2 linked regions of the Astyanax mexicanus genome follow. The protein of the gene in region 1 interacts with the protein of each later gene in a biochemical or structural test. Links are inferred from orthologs where the notes say so. Each region holds a gene or a part of one and is shown on either strand. Other genes may lie near its edges. The genes, in order: map3k2 and smyd3.

Evidence for each region.
Region 2: the proteins of map3k2 (region 1) and smyd3 are reported together in a solved structure, tested with the Homo sapiens proteins (2 studies listed by BioGRID and IntAct, with this or other methods). The link is inferred for Astyanax mexicanus from reciprocal best matches to the Homo sapiens genes MAP3K2 and SMYD3.

The regions. Positions count from the first base shown.
Region 1 is NC_064412.1:37,839,996-37,852,874, reverse strand, and holds the start of map3k2 (mitogen-activated protein kinase kinase kinase 2), read left to right. Parts: upstream 1-6,440; 5' UTR 6,441-6,874; intron 6,875-8,036; 5' UTR 8,037-8,106; coding exon 8,107-8,110; intron 8,111-8,212; coding exon 8,213-8,331; intron 8,332-10,656; coding exon 10,657-10,697; intron 10,698-12,449; coding exon 12,450-12,549; intron 12,550-12,879. Other genes in the region: cytochrome P450 27C1, read left to right, coding at 140-218, 377-580, 1,233-1,349. UniProt on the Homo sapiens protein: Component of a protein kinase signal transduction cascade. Regulates the JNK and ERK5 pathways by phosphorylating and activating MAP2K5 and MAP2K7. Plays a role in caveolae kiss-and-run dynamics.
Region 2 is NC_064421.1:70,801-83,855, reverse strand, and holds the start of smyd3 (histone-lysine N-methyltransferase SMYD3), read right to left. Parts: upstream 6,752-13,055; 5' UTR 6,707-6,751; coding exon 6,504-6,706; intron 1-6,503. Other genes in the region: efcab2 (dynein regulatory complex protein 8), read right to left, coding at 7,743-7,861, 8,883-8,949, 9,133-9,175, 9,476-9,555, 10,005-10,077, 10,177-10,255, 11,654-11,678. UniProt on the Homo sapiens protein: Histone methyltransferase. Specifically methylates 'Lys-4' of histone H3, inducing di- and tri-methylation, but not monomethylation. Also methylates 'Lys-5' of histone H4.

The sequences.
Region 1 (12,879 bases):
TGAGTCCACAAAAAAACCCTTCCCTGCAATGTATAGTATATTAATGTGTATTTAATGTATAGTGGGCTGGGTTTGTTGGATGTAATTGCTCTCTATATTTTAACATTTTAATAAAATAACTCTCTGTCTTTACCTGCAGGCTTTTCCCTGTTCTTCCTGGCAATGGCCGTGTCACACAGGATGACCTCATCGTGGGTGGTTACTTTATCCCTAAAGGGGTAAGATTAGACACTGTGTGTCTTTTTTCTATAAGTTTGTCTCAGAATGCTTTGATGTGCCAGATCAGGAGTCTGGAGTAAAAGGCGAATGCTGATTGATTTTAGCTGCAGAGTGAAGATCTACTGTAACACTGCTCTGTTCTTTGTTACTCTCTCAGACACAATTGGCTCTTTGTCATTACTCCACCTCTATGGATGAGGAAAACTTCCCCAGTGCAGAAGAATTCCGTCCAGACCGCTGGCTCCGGAAAGACGCTTTGGATCGGGTGGACAACTTCGGCTCCATCCCGTTCGGCTACGGCATCCGGAGCTGCGTTGGCAGAAGAATAGCAGAACTTGAGATGCACTTGAGTCTTACCCAGGTGAGTGTGTGTGTGTGTGAGTGTGTTTGAACACAGAGACAGAACCTGCTTGTTTTTTTTTTTTTGTTTGGTAATCCAATACTGTGACTTTTATACCATAGCAGAGATTAAATCAACTATGCAACAGACTACAGTTAAAAAAATTTTGGCTGAAAAAGTTACAAATGAATTTAAATTATCTCACTAAGATTAATTAAAACCAACATGATTGAGCACATGACTAAATATTTTAAGGTTAAAATTATGATGTAACACAAATTGCATATAAATTGTTTCAGAACTAGTTATATGGAATGTAAAACATTTTAATCCCAGCATATGTGTTGTTAAATTGGTTGGATCCTGTAGAAGAAAAAACACACAGGAGCTAGTTTTATAACTCAGAGCACATAATCACATAATCATACATTCAAACCCTTTCCTGTGATGCTTTCAATTACAACAACAAAAAAATCATACAAACCTAGCCTGAATCAGCACAATCTCACCGCTGCAGGATGAAATGTATTTAAAAACAGCCCCTTTTAAAGCTTTATAGAGCAGCCTCTGTCTGATTTTACAGCTTAGTAAAGCAGACTGCACTTTTCCATACACCTATAAAATGTGTTTAAGGTATTTGTGGTCACTAACTCCTCCCCTTTGTTATTTGCAGCTCCTTCAGAAGTTTCGCATCGAGGTGTCTCCACTCACCGGTGATGTCCGAGCCAAAACCCATGGCCTGCTGTGTCCTGGATCATCAATCAACCTCAAGTTTGTTGACCGTGTGTAGACCCCTGCCTTGAATGTGTACATATGTATTTTAATGTAGTGTTTGTATTAAAGCATTGAGAATGTTAGATTGCACTTTTCATGTCCAGTTAAAAATAATCTTCCCAAACCAATTTTCTTATCGCTGATCAAGCCACTAATGTGGGTATGATCTAGTTTGGACTGTGCCTCTGTGCCTTTTTCTTGTTGCCTTTTTTTGGGGGGCTCACTTTTGAGTCTGAGTGGTGAGTTAAATGGCTTAAATCTGCCTGATGGACAAAGCCTTATGATACTTACAATTGTTGAATTAATTATGTTTAAAATGTTACATTTTATATTGTTTTTCCCCAAGCGTAATATTTCAAGAAAATACTATTTTTGATGACTAATGCAAATTCACCTATATATGTAAAAATGGCATATACTGTCCTTTTGATTTTACAAGCAGTGTTAGTAAAGCATTGGAAAGAGGGGTTTGGAGTGGGGTCTACAAGGGACCAATATTGAAAAAAAATGCTCTTGAGAATCTAAAATATCTAATGTGATTTTCAACTTTTTCATTTATCATTTTCATGTGATTTAAAAGATGTTTTGTACTACTGTGCATAGTTGTGATGTAACACTACCACTTTTATAAATAAATAAGTCTGTATTACATACTAAGATATATTGCTTTTTTACTTTAGAAAAGTCTGCAGATTAACTGAACTTTACTAATTGTTTTTTACTTCTCATGAAGTACTGAATGTGTAATTAGTGCCTAATTGTATTGTTGAAATATATTTTTACATTACATTACATTACATTACATTACATTTGGCAGACGCTTTTGTCCAAAGCGACTTACAATAGTCAAGTACAATGTAAAAAGAGTTTAAAGGTAAAACATCTTTGGATAGGGATAAAAGGAGGTCAAAGGGGAATAATAGGATAGAGGAGTGAAGGAGGGGAAGAAGGAAATGAGGTTAGAAGTAGTTAGTGTGTTAGAGGTGTTAAGAGAGTAAGTGCTATTTGAAGAGCTCTGTCTTCAGGAGTCTCTTAAAGATAGTGAGAGATTCTCCTGATCTGGTAGTGGAAGGTAGTTTGTTCCACCATTGGGGAACTCTGTATGAGAACAGTCTGGATTGCTTTGATTTGATCATGTTCAAAGTGTTTTTATATCAAATTCATTGACTGAAGTGACACAAATCCATGCTAATAGTGTTACATTGTTCTTTATTCATTCATGCAGTACAGTTTAGTTTTGTTATACAAACAAAATATAATAAAGGTGACTGTTTCTAACATGGCTTCAAGTTCTACAGCCTTTTTATTTCTTTATTTCATTGTGTTTAAATAAAATGTCATACACTCATATCTCAAACACTAAACACTCTTATACAGTTGCAAGTAAAACATGTAAACTCTTTGGAATTACTTTGATTTCTGCATAAATTGGTCATTAAAGGGGTTCTGATCTTCATCTAAGTTACAACAACAGACAAACACAGTCTGCTTAAACTAATAGCACACAAAAAATGTAAGTTTGCATATTTTTACTGAACACAACATGTTAACATTTACAGTGATGGGGAAAAGTATGTGAACCCCTAGGCTAATGACTTTTCTAAGAGCTAATTGGAGCCAGATGTGAATGTGATGAGATTGGATGTGTTGGTTAAAGCTGCCCTGCCCAATAAAAACGCACACACCAGTTTTGAGTTTACTGTTCTTAAGAAGCATTGCTTGATTTGAATCATGCCTCTCAGCACAAAAGAGCTCTCAGAAGACCTACGTTGTATAATTATTGACTTGTATGAAGCTGGAAAGGGTTACAGAAGTATCTCTAAAAGCCTTGATGTTCATGTGTCCATGGTAAGACAGACGGTTTGCAAATAGAGAAAGTGAATGCTTTAGTAGATTTTGAGCTTCAACTTCGTCATTGATTCTTGAACATTGTTTTCAAGAATCTGCTAATATTGACTGGAATCAATGCGACCCTCAACTTTAACAAGATTCACAGTACCTGCACTGACTACACAGCCAAATAACTCCAACTTTGTGGTGCATGCTCAGGAAAAGCTTCTTCTGCATTTCTCTCCCATACAACCTCTCCTTCTGCAAAGTGCACTGAATAGTTGAACAATGCACAGTGACAGCATCTGCAGAAAGATGATGAAGTAGGTTTTTGGAGCTCTGGATGTCTGTGGGTTGACTGACTGTTCTCACCATCCTTCGCCTCTGCTCATCTCAGAATTTTCTTGGTCTGTCACTTCGATTCATAACTAGAACTGACACCTAAAATCTTTCCCCTAAACCCTGATGTTGAACCATCTTTGTTTTCAGGTCATTTGAGAGTTTTGTTTTGAGGCTCCCATATTGCCGCACTTCAGAGAAGATGCAAAGAGGAGAAAAGCTTGCAATTAGCCCCTTAAACCTTTCTTATAATTGGATTCACTTGTGTATTTAGGTCAAGAGTCAATGAGCTTACCAAACAATTTTTGTGTTCCAATAATTAGTGTTAAAGGTATTCAAATCAATAAAACAACAAGGGTGCCCAAATTTATGCACCTGCCTAATTTTGCAAAAAGAATTATTGCACACTTATTCTAAATCCTATAAAATTCATTTCACTTTTGAAATATCACTGTGTTCGTCTGCTATGATATTTAATATATTTAACAAAAATCGCTGATCTAAACAACTAATGATTAAAGGGAAATCATGAAAATGATCAGGCTAACAAGCATGCTTGTCCAAAAAGGACAACATTCTTATATATAGCATTTTTATGCATTTATTTTGTATTTATTTAGGTTCACTAGTCACCAATTTCAACGAAACCCACAATGACCCTCTCTTCCCATCTAAACATTGAAAATGTACTTTAAATTTGAATTTAATACAAATAATCATTTAGATTCAGCCATATTTATTTTAATACTGTACATTTTGACCAAGCAAGACACCCTTGACTGTATACTGGAGTTAAGCACTTTTTACAGGGTTAATGCATTCTACCTTATTTTCTAATCTATTTATTTATTTATTTAGATTATTTATTTTATTATTTATTAAGTTTGATTATTTGCTTGAATTTTGAATTTTTACTAGTCATCCACCCATTTATTTACATTAAAAAATATGTTTATAAATTAGGGCTGTCAGCATTACAGACAAACCAAGTCTCCCTAAAGCTGCGGGAGTCTCCCGCATTTCGGTAGTGGCTCCCTGATGCCCGCGAGTCACATATAATCTCCCGCAATTCAGAACGAGTGCCCCAAACGCGCACTGCACGCAAACGCGCACACAGGCGACAGACTTTTTTTCTCTAATCGCGTGTGGGAAGGACAGAAAGAAGACAGAGAGGATTCTGATTGGCCTGTTCTCTGCAAAGAGTCTGTGAGACAGCCAATCAGGTTTGAGTGTGGGCGGGCAGTGTTTTTCCCCCCTCCCGGACGGGATTTGTTCAGAGAGTGAGAGAAAGCAGATCATGGCAGAGGCAATATTAATAATTGTTGTAATATGATATGAAATGTTTTTGATGTTGTGCAATTTTTTGTGATATTGTAACTGTACATTTTTGTCAAATAAAGGCCTTTTTTCAAAAAAAAAAAAAAAAAAAGGAAAGTAGAGGCAGGGCCTTCCAAAAAGAAAAAAAGATAAAACTAATTTCACCTCTGAATACTCTAAATTTAATAAAATAAAATAAAAAAAATTAATTAATATAAAAGTGAAGTTTTTTTTTGAAGGTAGTAGGGTAACCTCCCTGAAATCAACTTTTGCAACTTGGGATGTCTGGCATTAACACACTTAAAACACAGTTAGTCTGGAAACTGTAATGCGTACTTTTTTTTAAAGCATATAATTAATCTTGTGACAAAATGTGATAGAGCCTGATGACGCACTAGCAGTTTTATTTAGAGATATAACACAGCAAAGCTTTCTGTTGAGTTCAGAAGGTAGATTACCCTTTTATTTGTGCTGATGTTGATACTCTCTATCTCTCTCTCTATTTCTCACACACTACTGTGGTCACACACACACAGCTGATGGCACGTTTCCTCTTTTCAAGCTGGTGAGTGTGGAATATGCAGCTAATCTAGCATTTATTTCCTCCACAAAAACGCTCATTTAAACTCAATACATTAATTTTGTTTAAAAAGCACCACAACTACCCTGAGATATTATAATCCAGTAAAATAAATCTAGTCTATCAGGTGTAAACCACATTACACAGTTATTTTTGTCCAAAAAATACAATTAAGTACCAGCATTTTAAAAAATTAAATCATGATTTTATCCATGATTCAGCCATTGTTAATCATGGATAATACTGTTGTGAATAATACAATTATTTTTAAGTGACTGGCATCAATATTAAAAATCTAAGTGTTTCTAATACTGATTCTTTTATTCACATTTAAAACCTATTTTGAAAAGCTGAGTCTTTTCTCCCATTGTTCTCCCAATTTTAGATAGGCCAGTCATTTCCCCTATTCAGCTGCTAGTCAGCTGTATATCCCCAATCACAGTCATGCCACAACACCAGGAGGGTGAAGGCTAGCACATGCCTCCTCCGATACATGTGAAGCTAATCACTGCATCTTTTCATACTGCTGCTGATGTAGCAAAGCAGAGTCGTCAGCGTTCTCGGAGGAAAGCGCAGCAACACGGTTCTGATACATCAGCTCACAGATGCCTTGTGCTGATCAACATCACCCATCTACCCTGCTCTGGCAGCTGATGGCAAGTTACATAATCAGGATTCGACCATGTGGTCACCTTCAGTTTTTTATTTGGAAACAGACAGCATAATTTAAAGTAAAGCTATTGTTTTCTTTTACATTTAATTTAGTTTTTTTTTTTTTTTTTTTTGTGGAAAAATATGAAAAATATGAAAATCACTGCCACTTAAAAGAGGTGTTTACAGGTTTCTGACAGAAGAACTTGTCTATATTCTGAGATTCCCTCTAGTAGGTTCTAAGTCAAGATGTACAATCTCGATTATTCCATTTTTTAAATATTAAATCGCATTAAAACAGTAGCCTTCCAGACCCAGTAAATAAATACATACTCTGAGCCCCGTGTCCTGCTGTGGTCTCCGTACTGTAGACAGAGTGCAGGTCTCTCTGACAGGCTGATCGTGTGTAGCGGATCGGACTGGTCCATCGGCGGCTCGGCGCGGGGGGGAGAGAGCGGCGCTCCGGGATTAGTCTTCAGTCGAGCCGTGTTTGATACCTGCGGTTTCTACATATGAACAAAACCACGCCGTTAAACGGTTATCTGTGTGTCTGTATTTGCGGCACGGCCTCGCGGATACGACGCTTTTGGCCTGAATGTGAAGCGAGTTCGGTGATTAATCGCTCGGCCTGTAGCGCATCGACAGCGGCGGCAGTGGCGGCGGTTAGCGGAGCTGAGCTAGTGCTCTGGGGCCTCGGACTGAAGTTGCAGTTGTATGCGGACTTTACAACTTCTTAAGCCGGGTTTGGAGGTTCTTAAAGTCGGGCAGGGCCCCCACTTCCCAAGGCCTTCGGATGAGGAAGTGAAGATACACGAACCACCCAGGTGAGAAATAGGACAAATAGCTCTTATTTTCTGCTGTTATTGATTATTTATCCTAGTTATTAGATTCTGAAGGCTTTTAGCTGTCAGTCGATGTCTATTAGCAATAAATTCTCCTGTCAGACACTGCTTATGTTAGCTAGCTAGCCAAGTAGCTAAAAGTTAGCATATATAAAATAGCAGCGAAGTGAACGAAGGTTTGTGTGCTGGCATTCTAGCTCTAAATGTGAGATAGTTAGCTAACCTAGCTAGCTATATTTGCACAAATTGGATAGTTAGTTAGCTGTCTCTCCTTGGTCTTAATATAACTATAACGTACAAGGTTAGCCAGCTCTATTATCTAATTAAATAGTTTGGAAGGTACCTAGCAGACTGTCTAGCTAACTAAGCTAACTAACAGCTAATTAGCTAGCTAGCTAGATAGACAGTATGGCTAGCGCGCCTTCAGTGTAGCGAGCTAATCTTGTTGTTAGCTAGCTAACTTAGCTAACCTATCTAATAACGAGATAATGTCATGTTGGCCCCTGTATTGTCGTGTGCATATGTCCCATTAAATACTATGTAAAATGCTTCAGTCTTTATTATGTTAAAGACAAATATCCAAAACAGCTGGTTTTTCACCCGCAGTAATGTTTAGCTAGTTAGCTTATAAGCAAAGCGGACGTGCTAGCTAGCTCTCTTCATCATCATCCTCCAACTGCTGAAGATGTTTTTTGATAAGCCCCATTTTGACCGCTTGTAAAACACTATTTCCATTGTTATCAGGAATCTTGTGGCCTCGTTATCTAATGAAGATAAGTGGTTAGCTATGTGAGCGCACACACTGCCTACACACACTGTGTTTGTTGTATGTTGAAACAGTAAACTATAGCTAGCTAACAAGCTTGCTAGGTTAGCTAGCTAGCTAGCCAGCTATCATTGGTAGAGCAGATTTTGACAGCTGACAGACCCGCCAGTAGCACCAGTTTCCCCCCAATGTGATGATATCTGAGATCGATGTGTGATTTACTTTACTATTGTACTTTTAAATGCAGTTTGTGTAACAGTATTATTTTATTATTACGATTATGATGTTAGATGGTATTTTGTCAATTGTTGTTTGTATGTAAAGGAAATGCCTACATGAATGACACCCACTCAAAATAGTTGTGATATCTATGTACAGGAGAAAGGAACCCATTTAATGGGAGATATCCTCTATCCTGAACTCCTGGGGCCGACTGTGAGCAGTTATCATGGGTATGTAACCTATGTCTCCTGATAAAAGATGTACAAAGGTTTTATAAATTCTTATACATGGTCCATGTTTTAAACCTGTTTTAAACCCATATGTCCTGACAGACGAGCAAGAGGTTCTAAACTCGATCATGCAGGACTTGGTTGAGCTGCATCGCTCTAGCCGGCCAGCCATGTCTCTGTCTGACCTGGGCAAACCCAAGGCTTCGTCTCCCAAGAACCAGGTCTGATATCTTAGTCTGATCCTCCAACATTGACTCATGTAAACTTGTAAATAAGGGTTGGGCGATATGACTAAAAAAACTCTTATCTCAACATGTTGCAGGGAAATGACGAGATATGATATGATGAAATCTAAAAGTGAAATGTTAAAGTATCCACATTTATTTGTAACACCATAAATAAAATGTATGATGTATTTAAATAGTAAATATCTAAATATTTATCTCAGTATTTCACTTATTTAGAAGACTGCACTGGATGATTGGACAAACATTTATTGGTAGTAAAAATGCTGGAAAATGCACATAGAGTATTTGTAGGTGGTTTTTTTTATGCACAAATGGTAAGCCTGCGGCTTTGGCTGGGTGCATAATGTTTAGATGTGGTCCTACCAGCTTGTTTTCCACCCTATTATTTTACATCAGACTATCAATAATAACAGAGCCATTTGCAAAAAAAGCTTTTATTGGCTGGTTTATGGCATTGTGATGGCCCACAAATCTTCTGTAGTGTAGTATATTTTTAGCACAGAAATAATGACAATGCTGTTGTTACTCAGTTTTATGGGATAATGATGTCCGCTCATTGTCTGTCATTTCTCCTGAAACTATTCGATTTCACCAGACACCACCCATGTAAGATTTTAATTGGAAATAAATTGCTTGTGGGAAATTATTTTAAGTGTATTGATATTGACAATATATTGCCCAGCCCTATTGTACATTGTACTTCTATATAGATTCTGGGTATAAGACTGCAGGACATCGACATAATACAGATGTTACAATTATGTTGCTACATTAGAAATGCTGAATGTCTAAACACATGTCTAGGCTAATTTTTTTTTCATGTACAGATGGTAATCATGTGACTTTATTGGGGTGCATAATGTTCAGATTTGGTCTTACCAGCTTATTTACCACCCTGGTATTTAACATCAGAATTAAAAGCTGATGGTTACAGGTGGCTTTAAAAACAAAAATAACACAGATTTTACTACTGGTTTGTGGCATTGTGAAAGCTTACAGATCTTCTGTAGTGTAGCATAGTTTTTACACAGTAACAACAACACTGTAATTATTTATTTTGTTTTGCGGGCTAGTGGTGCTGTTGGCTTTTTGTTTTTACCAGTAAATAATAAGCTGAAATGTACCTTTACTTGGTTTAGCTGAGGACATCTTGTCTGTTTATGAGCGAGTGGACACAGGTAACTGGAAGAGATGGTAAAAGGCTATTGCGTTGGCTAGTGTTAGCTTTTAGCATAATGCGGATCATCGTTTGCTTTTTTTTGTGTCACGTTAGTTTTTGCAGATGTTAGAACAGGAAAAGTTGTGGTGAAAAGTCAAGTTACATTTTACAATTTTGCCAGCTTTAACTAGGGCTTTTGCTTGTAGATTGGTTGTTTGGAAATTTAAAAGCCATTAAATTCAGTATCGAAAAGCAACAATTTTACACAGTGCTGATGCAGTGCGCTGAAGTGTTAGAAAACTTATAAGTTTAGTTATTTGTTTATTTAATCTCTGCTTCTGAAAGGTATAATAATAAGCTTCACGATGACCTCCTAAAACTTTTTTTGCAGTTATCCGAGGATTAATGTATAATAGGAGGATGTATGTTGTTTTTAGGAACCTGGCCTCAAATGATTTCCCAACTGTTGTGGTTGTTCAGATACAGGCAGGAAATGTGTGTTTATATATACAGCCAAATACAGATTTTTTTTCTGTGCATTTTACGTACACCATTTCTGTTCATTATCTGACATTCAAAAAAACTATTGGCTCTTTCTGTATGGTTGTCATTTTCCAAACATAATTGCCATCATTGGAGAGCCACTAACATACTTCTGGAGAAAAGTTTCAGATTCATTCATATAATTATGCTTCACAAATGGGCTGAAACACAGAAAATATGGATTTTATTAAAGGAATATCAAAGAAATAAGAGATCTAGTTAATTTTACGGCAAGGCACTGCAAAACTTGTATGTGCTGTATAGTATGTGCTTTTTTTGGTTAATTTTAATTATTTAATTTTTTTTGGTTAATTTTATTCTTTAATTATGAAAAATGAACTGTAACTGTGCAACAATGAAACATGCAGGTCAGGTCATTTTGAGTTTTTCTTTGAAATCTTTCAGCTTTTCATATGATTGAATGTGTTTCCTATTTAGTTTAGGAAAAATGATTAAAGACAGGTATAGAAGTATCAGAATAAAGCTTTTGTTTCCATGCCTTTAAACAATATTGTCATTTAGGGTCCACAGTGACAATCATCAGTTGATGTAATGCTAAGTTTTGGACCGTGTTAATCTCACTTTCTTTCTTGCAGAACGATGTTCGAGTAAAGTTCGAGTACAGGGGAGAGAAGAGGTAATGGTTTCAACTTTTAAAAGCATGACTGTTACTTAGATTAATTTGTAATAGAAAGGAATCTGACTGCGGGACATGCAATGAATTCATAAAGTTTTTGAAGCCTGGAGAGACATTCCTGAAATGCTGGAAAATTATTATTTCCTGTAATGCACTGATATGATTGTTTTCGCCTCTAACTGTACAAAATGAAACATTTAGAACGTATTCTTTAGTGGTGGCCCATGCAATCACAAACCCCTGCAGAGGACTTTTAATATAAAACAATGGATGCAGACACAGCAGCATCTAAGTTCATGACAGACTGAATTTCCTTTGTTTAAAGGAACAGTCTACTAATGTATTAAATGAGAACAAGCTTGTGAAATGGCTACAGCAGTCCAATTTCAAAACACTGGAGAGAGCTTTTTGCGCACCCAGCCCTCACCAGACACGAAGCTTATGGTGTTTCCCAGATTGACACACACTGGCAAGCGATGACGTGTTCTACCTCTTCGTGAATATATATATATATATATATATATATATTACACTTCAATGTTTTTATTGATTGCACATTATGAACTAACTGATTTTATATGACTCTGTTAGCTTGGTTGGCAAACCTTACTGAAGCTCGGTGATTAGCTGTTTAGGAGAAAAATAGACAATTCCCCTATTTCCATGACTGCAGCACATTGTTTGCATGCTGTTGTTCTATACCAGGCAGCTTAAGGTGTGGAAATGGGACTGTGGGAAGTAGGGGTGGGATACGATCACGATATTTCATGGTATTTTGGCGAAAACGATACTCTTGGCAATATAAAAAAACACTGAACTGATTTCAAGAATACATTACTGCAACTAAATAAAAATATATATATTGTTATTGCATACATACTGCACACCCCTAATTGAGATATTGGAAGAAGAATTTTATCAGATTTTTGACAAAAGTCAATGGTCTAGAATGTCATGATACTAATAATGCACTCCATATATCTCCATATATCCAGGATTAAAGTAAAATAAATTATACTGGACAGATATAATCTGTCTCTAGTAGATATATAATGGGAAATGAGAACAGTGTTCTTACAGTGTTATTTTGCTAAAAACAGCAAAAAGTAGTACTCTTAATGTGATAATTAGGGGTCGATGATATGGTACAATATTTCAGGGTATAATACTGTTCACAATATTCAAAATTGTTGGCGATATTATTGCGTATGATATGATATGGTATACCCCTAGTGGGAAGTGTGGGGGGCGGAGGCTAAAATCCACACAGATTACTGTGATGTACCACACAGTTCACATATGAACCGTATGAAGCTATCACATATGAAGCTCCGCTGTCGAGAGCTGCTAGTGCTTAAATTCAACATTTTTTCTTAAAATCTGCTGAAACATCCTGATAATGTTATGATTTACTAAAGAAAATATAATCTAATGGTCTTTTAACCTTTAGCCTCCAGATGGCCCTGTTGTCTTTTGTCTTTGAAACAGTAAAGTGCTGCTGCTACTGCAAGAAAGCCTAACATTAGACTAAACACTGCAATTGTATATGCTTTTTTTTTTTTTTTTTTGCTGATCTGGCTAAACATTTTGGTTCCTATTTATTCAGTTCATCCCTAATTTATTTATTATTTTATTTTAATTAATTTTCTTTTCCTTTTTAACAAATGTGTATGTTGTGTAAATGAATTAGGTGTTATTCAATATATGTGTTTTGTATATATTTTCTAATTCAATGTCATTTTGCTTCTTTAGGATTCTGCAGTTTCCTCGGCCCCTCAGGCTAGATGATCTCAGCACCAAAGCTAAAGTGGCGTTTGGGCAGGCCATGGACCTGCACTACACCAATAATGAGGTACCGAAATTAGAACGTTTGTCCAGTTCTCAGCCATTGTTAAAACGGACAATCTACAAGCACAACTCAAGATCAAATTAGACGAGCTACGCAAGGTGCCGCATAGGTCACTAAATCTAACACATAGACACTTAATAACGAATGATGAAATACCATCTTGTCAACCGTGCAACATCCCGCTAACGATGAAACACATCCGCATCGACTGTCCTGACTATAACCTTATGAGACAATCTTACTACCAAGAAAAGAACATAAAAGACCTCTTTGGGAAAAAAAAACCCACCCGGAAAGATCTTAAAGTTCGTATCGCATCTTAACCTCAAACAC
Region 2 (13,055 bases), on another chromosome or scaffold:
AAGGGGGGCAAGGACTGATTCACCTTGCCAGCAGAATGGCAACGTCTCGTTTGGAATTCCTGCAGAAATATCTTACTGGTACTACGGACCTAGTTTGGAGGGAAGTGGCAAGTAGTATTTTGCACACTGTTGATGGACTGGGACTAGATACCGCTTTGTTTTTATTGGACTATAAACAACTACACCTGAATGGATTATCTCTTTTTTACCGTGGAATTTTTAAGTTTTGGTCTCTTTTTAAGCACCGCCGTTTGGAGCAGAACTCTCTCTACTGGCTGCTGGAGGAGCCTTTAATTAAAGGGGCTCGGCTGGATGTGTCCACTGATGGGATTCTGGGTCTTTCTCACAGACTTTGTATCTCAAAGGCAGTTAAACTGCAGAACTTGGTGGATGTGGTAGGACCTGGCCTTGATAATAACAATGCTGCTGCCTCATTGTTAGGTCAGAGGTCTACCCGGCATGCCAAGATCATCCTGGACTTGTTAGGTGGCAGGTTGTCTTCAGAAGACAAATCTCTTTTGCAGGAATATGGGAATGGGAACTTAATACCACATAGAACGGACCCTTTTCCAAAGACTGGTATTACGCCCGACCTAGAAGGCGTGTCGGGTCCTTTATTGTCTTTTTCAGATTGGCAGGACTTGGATTTCCACACTGCGTCAGGCCGGGTTTTATATAAATGTTGTGTGAAAGTTTTTAATAAGTCAGTGCTCAATGGACAGTCTGACACAGTCTGGAGGGACAAGCTTGGAGTGGGTTTAGACAAACGACCAGTGTGGAGGGTACTGTACAAGTCCCCTCTGGTAAAGAGGTCTGGGGATCTGCAATGGAGAATTCTGCATGGCGTTTTAGCTGTTAATGCTTTTGTTTCAGTTATTAATACAGCAGTCAGTGATTTATGTGTTTTTTGTGGTCTAAGAGAGACAGTGTTCCATTGTTTTTTTAGAATGTCGGAGGCTAAGACCCCTTTTTGACACACTTGGTTTGATTTTTCAGAGGGGTGGGGTTGTTTTTAATCCTACAACGTTTATTTTTGGGGCTGGGTACAGTCAGAAGGAGAGGGTTAAGTGGCAACTGTTAAATTTTCTATCTGGTCAAGCAAAACTGGCTGTGTACAATTCGAGGAAAAACCAGGCCAAGAGGTGTTGCCACTGTTTCTAGCTCTAGTGGAGTCCAGGATCCGTTTTGAATTTGGTTTCCATAAGCTTATGGATACAATTGAGATTTTTGAACTGGAATGGTGTTATAAGCACATTTTGTGTAGTATAGAGGAAGGAGAGATAGCCTTCCCTTGGAACTAAGTGTGCAAAAGGATTTTTTGCCTCTTTTAATTTTGATTGTCTTAAGATATTGATTGGACTGTGTGAAGGAGGGTCATTTTTGTTTAAGGATTGAATAAAATGTATTTTTTAAAAATCAAAATCTCTCTCTCTGTCTCTCTCTCTCTGTCTCTCTCTCTCTGTCTCTCTCTCTCTGTCTCTCTCTCTCTGTCTCTCTCTCTCTGTCTCTCTCTCTCTGTCTCTGTGGGGATAAGCTTTTCTTCAGCAGGGACAGATTTAGGAAGCTGGTCAGAGCTGATGGATGGAAGATGGATGGACATGGACAATAATTCGATATCGGTACTTATCGCGATAAGAAATGTTTCAATAACGGTGATATCAGTTTTGTGGTATATCGATATGTATTAGAATCACGGACAGGCGTCTTTTACTGGCGTCAGCTCGCCGCAGAGCTCAACACAGCCCCCGTAGCTGGGCTACGTCAGTGCGTGATGACGTAACCACACAGGCACGTAGCCAAATAGGCTAGGCTAGGCAAGGCTAGGTTAAAATGGCTAGGCTCGGGTCCGCTTCGCTACGCAGCAAAAATGTCTCGTGCTGGAGCCAAACGGAGCCGGGACGAGCGGATCCAAGGCTAAGGTAGACTCGGTTCGGTCGGCCCCGGATCCTCGAGGCCGGCCGCGGGTCCGCTCGCTCGGCCGCGGGTCCGCTCGCTCGGCAGAGGGTCCTCGAGGCCGGCCGCGGGTCCGCTCGCTCGGCCGTGGGTCCTCGAGGGTGGCCGCGAGTCCGCTCGCTCGGCCGTGGGTCCGCTCGCTCGGCCGTGGGTCCTCGAGGGCGGCCGCGGTTCCGCTCCCTTGCCGCTTTGCTGCAAATTGTGCCGGAGAGTGCAGCCGACCAGCAGCGGTAATGTTAATACATCTAATCTGTTCCACCACTTCAAGCAACTCCACTACATACAATATTTTTCTTATACTGACTGAAGCACTTTTATAGCTTATGTTGTAACTAAGTTATTCATAGTTGATAAAGCCTATAGGTTTGTTTATTTGACGGGAAAATCTTGTTGCTTTTATGTATATAAAGGCTTCTGGTATTCTATATCCTAGTTGAAACACTTTTGTTTTAATCTGTTAAATTTGTTCACAAAGAATAAGAAGCTCGGCCTCTGTTTTAATTTAAAGTTATTTTTATTGGTAATAGTTATATAGGCTTATGTTTGACAGGGATGTCATGTTATTATTTTGCTATATGCAAATAATATTGAGCATTGATTTATTTTGACTACTTTTATTTCTAAAGTATTAAAGTTTTTGTGAAAGGAGGTTTCAAAGGCTTAAATTAAATTTTCAGACAGTAGTAGGTACAGATTTCCGACAGACAGACAGACAGACAGACAGACAGATAGATAGATAGATAGATAGATGTGCATATAATGAGGGTATCTGATGCCAGCCATACAAAAAGTGCAAATACACAGTTACATAATAATTTAAATTCGCAGTGCTGCAGGGATTGCAGGGCTTCTTAGCAGTTTTCTGAGGCCTTCAAAGTATTTATATCGATATCGAAATTATATCGTATCGACCGAAATTTAAGGAATATATCGTGATATAAATTTTGGCCATATCGTCCAGCACTAGGACAGAGTCTCCATATGAGGCCAAAAAGTTCAACGTTTTAAAAAAATCATGGTGCAGAGATGTAGAAATATAATGTCCCCATATGAGGACGCAGGGTCTCAAGAGGATAATGATTTAGATCAGAGAATATTCATGTGTTAGAATGATCCAGTTAAAGTCCTAAAGACCTAAATCTCATTGATCTTCTGTGGAGAGACATGAAAACTGCTGTTCACAGACCAACACTCTCCATCCAACCTGACTGATCTTCAGCTGATTTATAAAGAAGAATGGAGGAAACATCTCTACAGTCTCTAGATGATCAAAGCTTGTAGAGATAAACCCTAAAAGACATGCAGCTGTAACTGCAGAGAAATATGAATCTACTAAGTATTGATTTGGCCAACACAGAGAAACAGCACCACCCTGTGGCCAGAGTGGAGAAATACACTCACACAAACAGTACAGGGTACTGTAGATGTTTCTAATAAAGTGTAGGGTGCAGTGCATGCTTTAAGGTGTAGTGGGAAGGGTGTAGTTATTATGCTTTAGGGTGTAGGGTAGAGTGATTATGGTGTAGGGTGCAGGGTGCAGGGTGTAGTGATTATGGTGTAGGGTGCAGTGTAGGCTTTAGGGTGTAGTGTGTAGTGTTTAAGGTGATTATGCAGTAGAATTTAGGGTGTAGTCTGTAAGGTTTAGGGTGTAGTCTGTAAGGTTTAGGGTGTAGTCTGTAAGGTTAAGGATGCAGTGTAAGGTGTAGTGTAGGGTTTAGGGTGATTGTGCAGTAGGGTGTAAGGTTTAGAGTTTAGGGTGTAGGGTGCAGTCTGTAAGGTTTAGGGTGTAGGGTGCAGTCTGTACAGTTTAGGGTGTACGGTGCAGTCTGTACGGTTTAGAGTTTAGGGTGTAGGGTGCAGTGTGTAAGGTTTAGGGTGTAGGGTGCAGTGTGTAAGGTTTAGGGTGTAGGGTGCAGTCTGTACGGTTTAGGGTGTAGGGTGCAGTCTGTAAGGTTTAGGGTTTGGGGAGCAGTCTGTACGGTTTAGGGTGTAGGGTGCAGTCTGTACGGTTTAGAGTGTAGGGTGCAGTCTGTAAGGTTTAGGGTTTAGGGTGCAGTCTGTACGGTTTAGGGTGTAGGGTGCAGTCTGTACGGTTTAGGGTTTAGGGTGCAGTCTGTACGGTTTAGAGTGTAGGGTGCAGTCTGTAAGGTTTAGGGTTTAGGGTGCAGTCTGTACGGTTTAGGGTGTAGGGTGCAGTCTGTACGGTTTAGAGTGTAGGGTGCAGTCTGTAAGGTTTAGGGTTTAGGGTGCAGTCTGTACGGTTTAGGGTGTAGGGTGCAGTCTGTACGGTTTAGGGTTTAGGGTGTAGGGTGCAGTCTGTAAGGTTTAGGGTGTAGGGTGCAGTCTGTAAGGTTTAGGGTGTAGGGTGTAGGGTGCAGTCTGTACGGTTTATGGTGTAGGGTGCAGTCTGTAAGGTTTAGGGTGTGAGGTGCAGTCTGTAAGGTTTAGGGTTTAGGGTGTAGGGTGCAGTCTGTAAGGTTAAGGGTGTAGGGTGCAGTCTGTACGGTTTAGGGTGTAGGGTGCAGTCTGTAAGGTTTAGGGTTTAGGGTGTAGGGTGCAGTCTGTACGGTTTAGGGTGTAGGGTGCAGTGTGTAAGGTTTAGGGTGTAGGGTGCAGTCTGTAAGGTTTAGGGTGTAGGGTGCAGTGTGTAAGGTTTAGGGTGTAGGGTGCAGTCTGTAAGGTTTAGAGTGTAGGGTGCAGTCTATAAGGTTAAGGGTGTAGGGTGCAGTCTGTAAGGTTTAGGGTGTAGGGTGCAGTCTGTAAGGTTTAGGGTGTAGGGTGCAGTCTGTAAGGTTTAGGGTGTAGGGTGCAGTGTGTAAGGTTTAGGGTGCAGTCTGTAAGGTTTAGCGTGCAGTCTGTAAGGTTAAGGGTGTAGGGTGCAGTCTGTAAGGTTTAGGGTGTAGGGTGCAGTCTGTAAGGTTTAGGGTGTAGGGTGCAGTCTATAAGGTTTAGGGTGTAGGGTGCAGTGTGTAAGGTTTAGGGTGCAGTCTGTAAGGTTTAGCGTGCAGTCTGTAAGGTTAAGGGTGTAGGGTGCAGTCTGTAAGGTTTAGGGTTTAGGGTGTAGGGTGCAGTCTGTAAGGTTTAGGGTGTAGGGTGCAGTGTGTAAGGTTTAGGGTGTAGGGTGCAGTCTGTAAGGTTTAGGGTGTAGGGTGCAGTCTATAAGGTTAAGGGTGTAGGGTGCAGTCTGTAAGGTTTAGGGTTTAGGGTGTAGGGTGCAGTCTGTAAGGTTTATGGTGTAGGGTGCAGTGTGTAAGGTTTAGGGTGCAGTCTGTAAGGTTTAGGGTTTAGGGTGCAGTCTGTAAGGTTTATGGTGTAGGGTGCAGTGTGTAAGGTTTAGGGTGCAGTCTGTAAGGTTTAGAGTGTAGGGTGCAGTGTGTAAGGTTTAGGGTGTAGGGTGCAGTGTGTAAGGTTTAGGGTGTAGGGTGCAGCCTGTAAGGTTTAGGGTGTAGGGTGCAGTGTGTAAGGTTTAGGGTGTAGGGTGCAGTCTGTAAGGTTTAGGGTGTAGGGTGCAGTCTGTAAGGTTTAGGGTGTAGGGTGCAGTGTGTAAGGTTTAGGGTGTAGGGTGCAGTCTGTAAGGTTTAGGGTGTAGGGTGCAGTCTGTAAGGTTTAGGGTGTAGGGTGCAGTGTGTAAGGTTTAGGGTGTAGGGTGCAGTGTGTAAGGTTTAGGGTGTAGGGTGCAGTGTGTAAGGTTTAGGGTGTAGAGTGCAGTCTGTAAGGTTTAGGGTGTAGGGTGCAGTCTGTAAGGTTTAGGGTGTAGGGTGCAGTGTGTAAGGTTTAGGGTGTAGGGTGCAGTCTGTAAGGTTTATGGTGTAGGGTGCAGTCTGTAAGGTTTAGGGTGTAGGGTGCAGTCTGTAAGGTTTAGGGTGTAGGGTGCAGTCTGTAAGGTTTAGGGTGTAGGGTGCAGTCTGTAAGGTTTAGGGTGTAGGGTGCAGTGTGTAAGGTTTAGGGTGTAGGGTGCAGTGTGTAAAGTTTATGGTGTAGGGTGCAGTCTGTAAGGTTTAGGGTGTAGGGTGCAGCCTGTAAGGTTTAGGGTGTAGGGTGCAGTCTGTAAGGTTTAGGGTGTAGGGTGCAGTCTGTAAGGTTTAGGGTGTAGGGTGCAGTCTGTAAGGTTTATGGTGTAGGGTGCAGTCTGTAAGGTTTAGGGTGTAGGGTGCAGTGTGTAAGGTTTAGGGTGTAGGGTGCAGTGTGTAAGGTTTAGGGTGTAGGGTGCAGTCTGTAAGGTTTAGAGTGTAGGGTGCAGTCTGTAAGGTTTATGGTGTAGGGTGCAGTCTGTAAGGTTTAGGGTGTAGGGTGCAGTCTGTAAGGTTTATGGTGTAGGGTGCAGTCTGTAAGGTTTATGGTGTAGGGTGCAATCTGTAAGGTTTATGGTGTAGGGTGCAGTCTGTAAGGTTTAGGGTGTAGGGTGCAGTCTGTAAGGTTTAGGGTGTAGGGTGCAGTCTGTAAGGTTTAGGGTGTAGGGTGCAGTCTGTAAGGTTTAGGGTGTAGGGTGCAGTGTGTATACAGTAGAATGGCACTGTGGATGTTTGTGTGTGTGTGTGTAATAAACTCACGTGCGGAAGCAGTTGTGGCACGCGGACTGCAGGAAGTTCCGCGCGACGCAGAATGTAAAGGGCGCGCAGCTCTGCAGATCAATGGCATCGCCTCCTTCATTCTCTTTGATCTGTATCACCGCTCCGGCTTTAATCTCACCGACCGCGCGCAGCCCGTTTCCCGCCCGCACGCTTATAAACCTCTCAGCACGCGCCGCCATCATCAACTCTCACTGAAACTGCAGCCCTTCAAAATAAGAGTCCCTCCCATGTTTCTATTGGACTCATCAGTGCAGTTATGTTAGAATTGGATATCCTCTTTATTCTCTGTTTATTAATGAGCAAAATCATCACATACATAAAAACATTATCAGAATGATCTGTTTCTAAATTAACCTTTATTTTCCCCGCTGATGTTGAGTGAATGGGAGAGGAAGACACGCCCACTATGCAAATAATTGGTGAAATAAGCCCATGCCAAAGGTGTGAGTTTGAACTGCACACAAAGTGTGTTTTACTAAAGTAGCTCAGCTAAATCACTGAGAAATATTAATGTTAGAAAAAATAATAAATAATCCAACATTACTGACTAACAGCTAAACTATCATTAAATTAGCATTAAAGTTTATACAATTACAAATAAAGTTTATTTCCCAAAGATCTATAAAATCATAATAGTAATTTATATAAACAAACTTTATGTACAGAGCAGAAACCCTGAGGTTAAAGGCTGATAATCATAATCTCTATCTAAAATCACAAAAAAATATTTATTGATTATTATTTATAGTGTGTGATTGTGAATACAAATAAACACCTGGCCAATCAAAACGAGGTATAACAGCAACCAGCTGACAGATAACACTGTGGGAAAAGTTTCTGATTGGCTAGCTAGTGACATGTGACCATCATCTTTTTTACTAAAAAATAAGGCAATTAGTCAATACTACTACTACTTATAATAACAACAATAATAATAATAATAATAATAATAATAATAATAACTGATCTTTAATGTCAAGTTTTAACCTGTGTGTAAACATAAATATTTATTATAAATCAGATAAAAGTGGATTTAATTATTGTATTTAAATTTTGAATCTCTGTAAAAAAAAAAAAAAAGAAAACAGCGCAGAATTTATTTATTTATTTATTTATTAGTCACACATGAAATATTTAATGAGCTTTAATATAAATGGAATAAAGAAGTTTCCGATTATTAAAGCTGATGTAGCTCCGCCCCCTGTGGGCGGTCCCTCGTTACCACGGCTCATCGGCGGTCATCATGCTGACGAAATCCCTGTAGAAGATCAGATTCTTCTCGGGATCCAGAGCAGCAGAGAGCATCTCCTCCATCTCCTCCTGAGAGAACGGATCTCCTGCAGGAACACAATAAAGGTGCTTGCACACTGCACGCGGTAGATGCGGCGCGGTACGCTGACCCCCATAGGATTCAATAGTGTCTAGAGCGGTAGAGCGGTGCGTCGCTGCCGCGGAGCAGAGCGGAAAGCGGCGCGTTTCCACGCCCATAACCACGCCTCCACCGCGCTACCGCTTACCGCGGGCAAAGTTCAACATGGTTCAACTTTGACCTCGCGGCAAGCGGTACCTCGGCAGAAAACGCATGACGTGAACTCACGCGACTAGAGAGAAACTGTAGTCCAAACAACAATAAACGTGCGCGAGAGACTAATAATAGCGATTAGTGAATCCCCTCAGCTGTACATCACTTCCCTACACTCATATAGAGATAACAGGAGGAAGAGAAGAATCAGAGCTTTGTTCTGAGGCTGAGAAACATATACAGATCCACAGAGGCTGTAGAGACTCAAAACTACAAAACACCGCTCACAGAGGTGATGGGTTTTAGAAAACTCCGCCTATTATCAGCAGGAGACGCTTGGCGTCAGCAGCAGCGCAACGCACCCGCAACTGACCAGCGTAGAGCAGAGCGGCAGCACAGCGGAATGCCGCGCGGCATACCGCGTTCAGTGTGCAAGCACCTTTACACCACCCTCAGCTCCGCCCACAGCACCACCCTCAGCTCCGCCCACAGCACCACCCTCATCTCCGCCTACAACACCGCCCTCAGCCCCGCCCACAACCCCAGCCCCACCCAGAACACCACCCTCAGCCCCACCCAGAACATCACCCTCAGCCCCGCCCACAACACCACCCTCATCTGCTCCATCTCTTCCTGAGAGAAAGGATCTCCTGCAGAAACAGCAGCACATCCATCAGCCCCGACCACAGCCCCGCCCTCAGCACCACCCACAACACCACCCTCAGCTCTGAGACTCGAAACACAGTCAGGAATTTCTAATTAATCTTCAGTAAACTTTACATATCTGATGATGTCACCGGCAGTGGGAGGAGCTAAAGTCTAAGTGCTGGATTTACCTTCCTGTGTTAAATATCTGCTGAGCTCCTCCGGATCCAGGTGTCCTTTCTTCTGCTGATCCAGAACCTGAAACACATTTATATTATTTATTATTATTTAATTTAACAACCAGATTCGCTCTATAAACACCTTTAGCACACAGTCCTGATCTCCCTCCTGATCTCCTGCTCTACAGGATTCAGACTGTGTGCTTTTGCACCGCTGAAGTTAAATTAATATCTGAACAAGATGAACGTAAGAGTTTCTGACCTCAAACGCCTGAAGCAGAAGATCCTCAGGAACGGGACGTAACCTGACAGAACAAATCAGAACCTCCAATCAGAACCTCCGATCAGAACCTCCAATCAGAACCTCCGATCAGAACCTCCAATCAGAACCTCCGATCAGAACCTCCAATCAGAACCTCCAATCAGAACCTCCAATCAGAACTTCCGATGAGAACCTCCGATCAGAACCTCCGATCAGAACCTCCGATCAGAACTTCCGATGAGAACCTCCGATCAGAATTTCTGATCAGAACCTCCAATCAGAACTGGAGTTTGAAATAATTCAGATTAATCAGTTCAGTGTAAACGCAGTGATCAAGAGTTACTTGTTCTCCATCAGGATTCGGGACATGGTCGGCAGGAACTTCTCAAAACGGATGAAGCCCGCTGGCTCCTCCTCCTCGATCTGTAACAACATTTCCAGCACTGCTCATTAAACCAGTCTATAAACGAGTATATAAACCAGTTTATAAACCTCTATATAACCCAGTCTATAACATATGAGCCAGTCTATAACATATAAATTAGCATATAAACCAGTCTATAAATCAGTATATAAACCAGTATAGAAATCAATCTAAACCACAGTATACAAACCAGTCTATAACATATAAACAAGTCTAAAAACCAGTATATAAACCAGTCTATAACCAAGTAAATAAATCAGTATACAAACCAGTCTATAAACCTCTATATAACCCAGTCTATAAACATATATATAACCCAGTCTATAAACCAGTATATAAACCTGTCTGTAACCTATAAACCAGTATATAACTTAGTATATAAACCAGTATAAAAGACACAGCCGCAGATTTAATATAATATGTCTGAAATATGTAAATGAGCTCTGACCTCAGCGATGACGTCATGCAGTTCAGCTTCGGTGGGAAATCGACCGAGAGAACGAATAATCGTCCCGATCTCCCTAAAAACAAACAAACAAACAAATCGGATCAGATTCATTACAGAACCCGATCAGAACTCAGAACTCTACATCACTATAATCTGCAGAATCAGAACCAACCTGACGTCCACAGTTTGATTCTGTTCATGATCAAAAACATCAAACGCGCTCCGGATCTTCTTCTGGACCTCCGACACACCTGAACACAATCAGAACCTCCTGATCAGAACCTTCAGAACCTCCTGAACTCTTAACTGGGACTAATGAGAGGGAGTCCATCTCTCCTGTACAGGACTTCCTGTACCGACTGTCGGTCAATTTATAATTAAAGTTTTAACAGCGTCTCCATCAGACCATCATCTCCGACCTTCTGCATCCATATTCAACCCGACGAGTCCTAAAAATCAGCAGCTCTTAGAGACGCTTAAACTCCTGAACTGAAGTCAGAAGATTACAGAGCTTTAACTGTGGAATAATCTGCATCTCCCTCCATCACTGTTTTAATACTAATCTAAAATCGTACCTGTACTCTCAGGACTTTCAGTGTGTTCAGTTCTGAGTGTCTGGGGTTAATCTGAATCTTGTTTCCTGATGCTACTTTTTTATTTATCTTATATCTTATTTGTTGTTTAGTTTTATATATTTAATTGTTCGTACTTCTGTATTGTACAGTACTTTGGTTGGTATTTGTGGTTTTTAAATTAGAAATACATTTGACTTGACTATTATATATTATATTTTATATATTTTCAAATGTACTAGCATTTTAGCAACTGTATGTGATACAGCTAGGTGGCAGCAAACACACGCACTTTAGAAATTTGGATAGAGTGCCAATTATACAGTATATTACATTTTTACAATTAAATATACAGGAGAATCGACACTGTATTGTAAATATAAAGGAAGTGCGTGTGTTTGCTGCCACCTAGCTGTATCATACACCGTTGCTGAAATGCTAGTAAATTTGTAAATATATAAAATATAATATATAATAGAGTTATAATACAGGATTTGTATAATATTAATGGGTGTGAATTTTCCCCATGATTCAAAGTGAACACCCCCGTTATTTAGATGTGTAAATCCTATAGATTTGGAGCTGTTGGTGTTTTTTTTTCTTATCTGGGAACATTAATAGGTGATTTTATGCACTAAAAGTGATTTAGAGGTGAATAAATGAGTGTGTACAGATGTAGAGAGGGTATAGAATTAGATGCATTTTATTCTAAATGGTAAAGTGCTTTCAGTTTTTTTATATTAATACTAAAAGTGCGTTGGGTAACTCTTTACTGTTACAGAGCAGTGTTATAGTGTTCCAGTGTTGCCAGATTATTGATCTTGTCGCTGGATTTAGAGAATGATTTATTTATTTTTATTTTTAAACGTAAGTAAATGAATCAGAGGAACGTGGATGTGTTTAAACAGCGCTGTTTCTCCTACTTTCTCTGCATCAGGTCACTGAAATAAAAACGCGTTAATATCTGGCAACCCAGCAGAGCCGCGCTGACAGTGACGCCGCGGTTCGAGATTAATCGGTAATTGGATTAATTGATTAATCGGTTTAAAGAGTTAATAAAGAGAACCCGATGTTTACCTGCAAGCGCGCGCTCCTCCGCCATTCCACCGCGGATCTGGTTGCTTAGATACGGACGCGCTGCTGGTAGCTGGGTTGCCAGATAGTGCAACCCCCCCAAACTCCGCCCACTAAACTACAATCAGCTCTAAATTCTGCACAACACAGAAAAGACTGAGTTTTATATAAAATCTGATTATAAATTAGATTATAGATTAAAGTAATAATGCAACTGTTCTAATATAAATCTTATATTTAAATTAAGCTTAATGAAATATGAAATGTACAGCCAAAACATTAAGACCACCTCCCCCCAATGCAGCTCAGATTACAGAACTGTGCAGGAGAAATCTCCAGATCTCCAGAAGATCAACACTGGAGCTTCATTACATTACTGTACTTAATTACATTACAGTACTTTATTACATTACTGTACTTAATTACATTACAGTACTTTATTACATGACATTACTTCATCACTGTTAAATATTCCTGAGCTGCTGCTGTTCTGGGATCAGTGGTGGGATCAGATGTTTCAGGATGTGGAAGCTAAAGTTCTTTAAGCTCCACATTTCAGTAAAAGTACAGAAGTATTTAACATTATTTGTATTTCAATACTGGAGTAGTTTACAGTAAAATGTACTGAAGTACTGAGAGTAAAGTACAGTACTGTGTTCTGTATTTATTACAGAAATCGATGTTTATTAAAGACGTTAATTAAAAACATTAAAAAATAAAACCCGGACACTGCAGACTATAAATATATACATTTATCACAAAATTACCATTTTCATATCCAAATAAAATATAAATAAAGGTATGTGAGGGTCCGCAGGTCTGGTGCATTGTGGGTAGTGTAGGCGTTTATTCCTCCAGCAGGATCTCCACCTCCTCCATCGGCGCTCGGAGCCGGAGCTCCTTCTCCACCAGCAGATCCAAAAACTCCTGAACCCGATCCGGAAACAACCGCACCGCGTCCATATACACACACTGCACAAACGCACACACATACACACACATTATATATATATACATATATATAAATAACACACACACACACACACACCATATATACACATATATATAAATAAAACACACACACAATACATATATATATATATATATATATATATATATATATATATATATATATATATATATATATACATATAAATAACACACACACACACACACACAATACATATATATAAATAACACATACAAACACACACCATATAAATATACACACACTATACGTATATATAGAGAGGGACTCACTTTAGCCCAGGGGACGTTCTGTAGAGCTTTATAGAAGATTCCTCTTCCTCTCTCTGTGTCCCCGTTACACACCTGCACACACCCACCATCATCACCATCATCACCATCATCACCATTATCACCATAATCACCATAATCACCATCA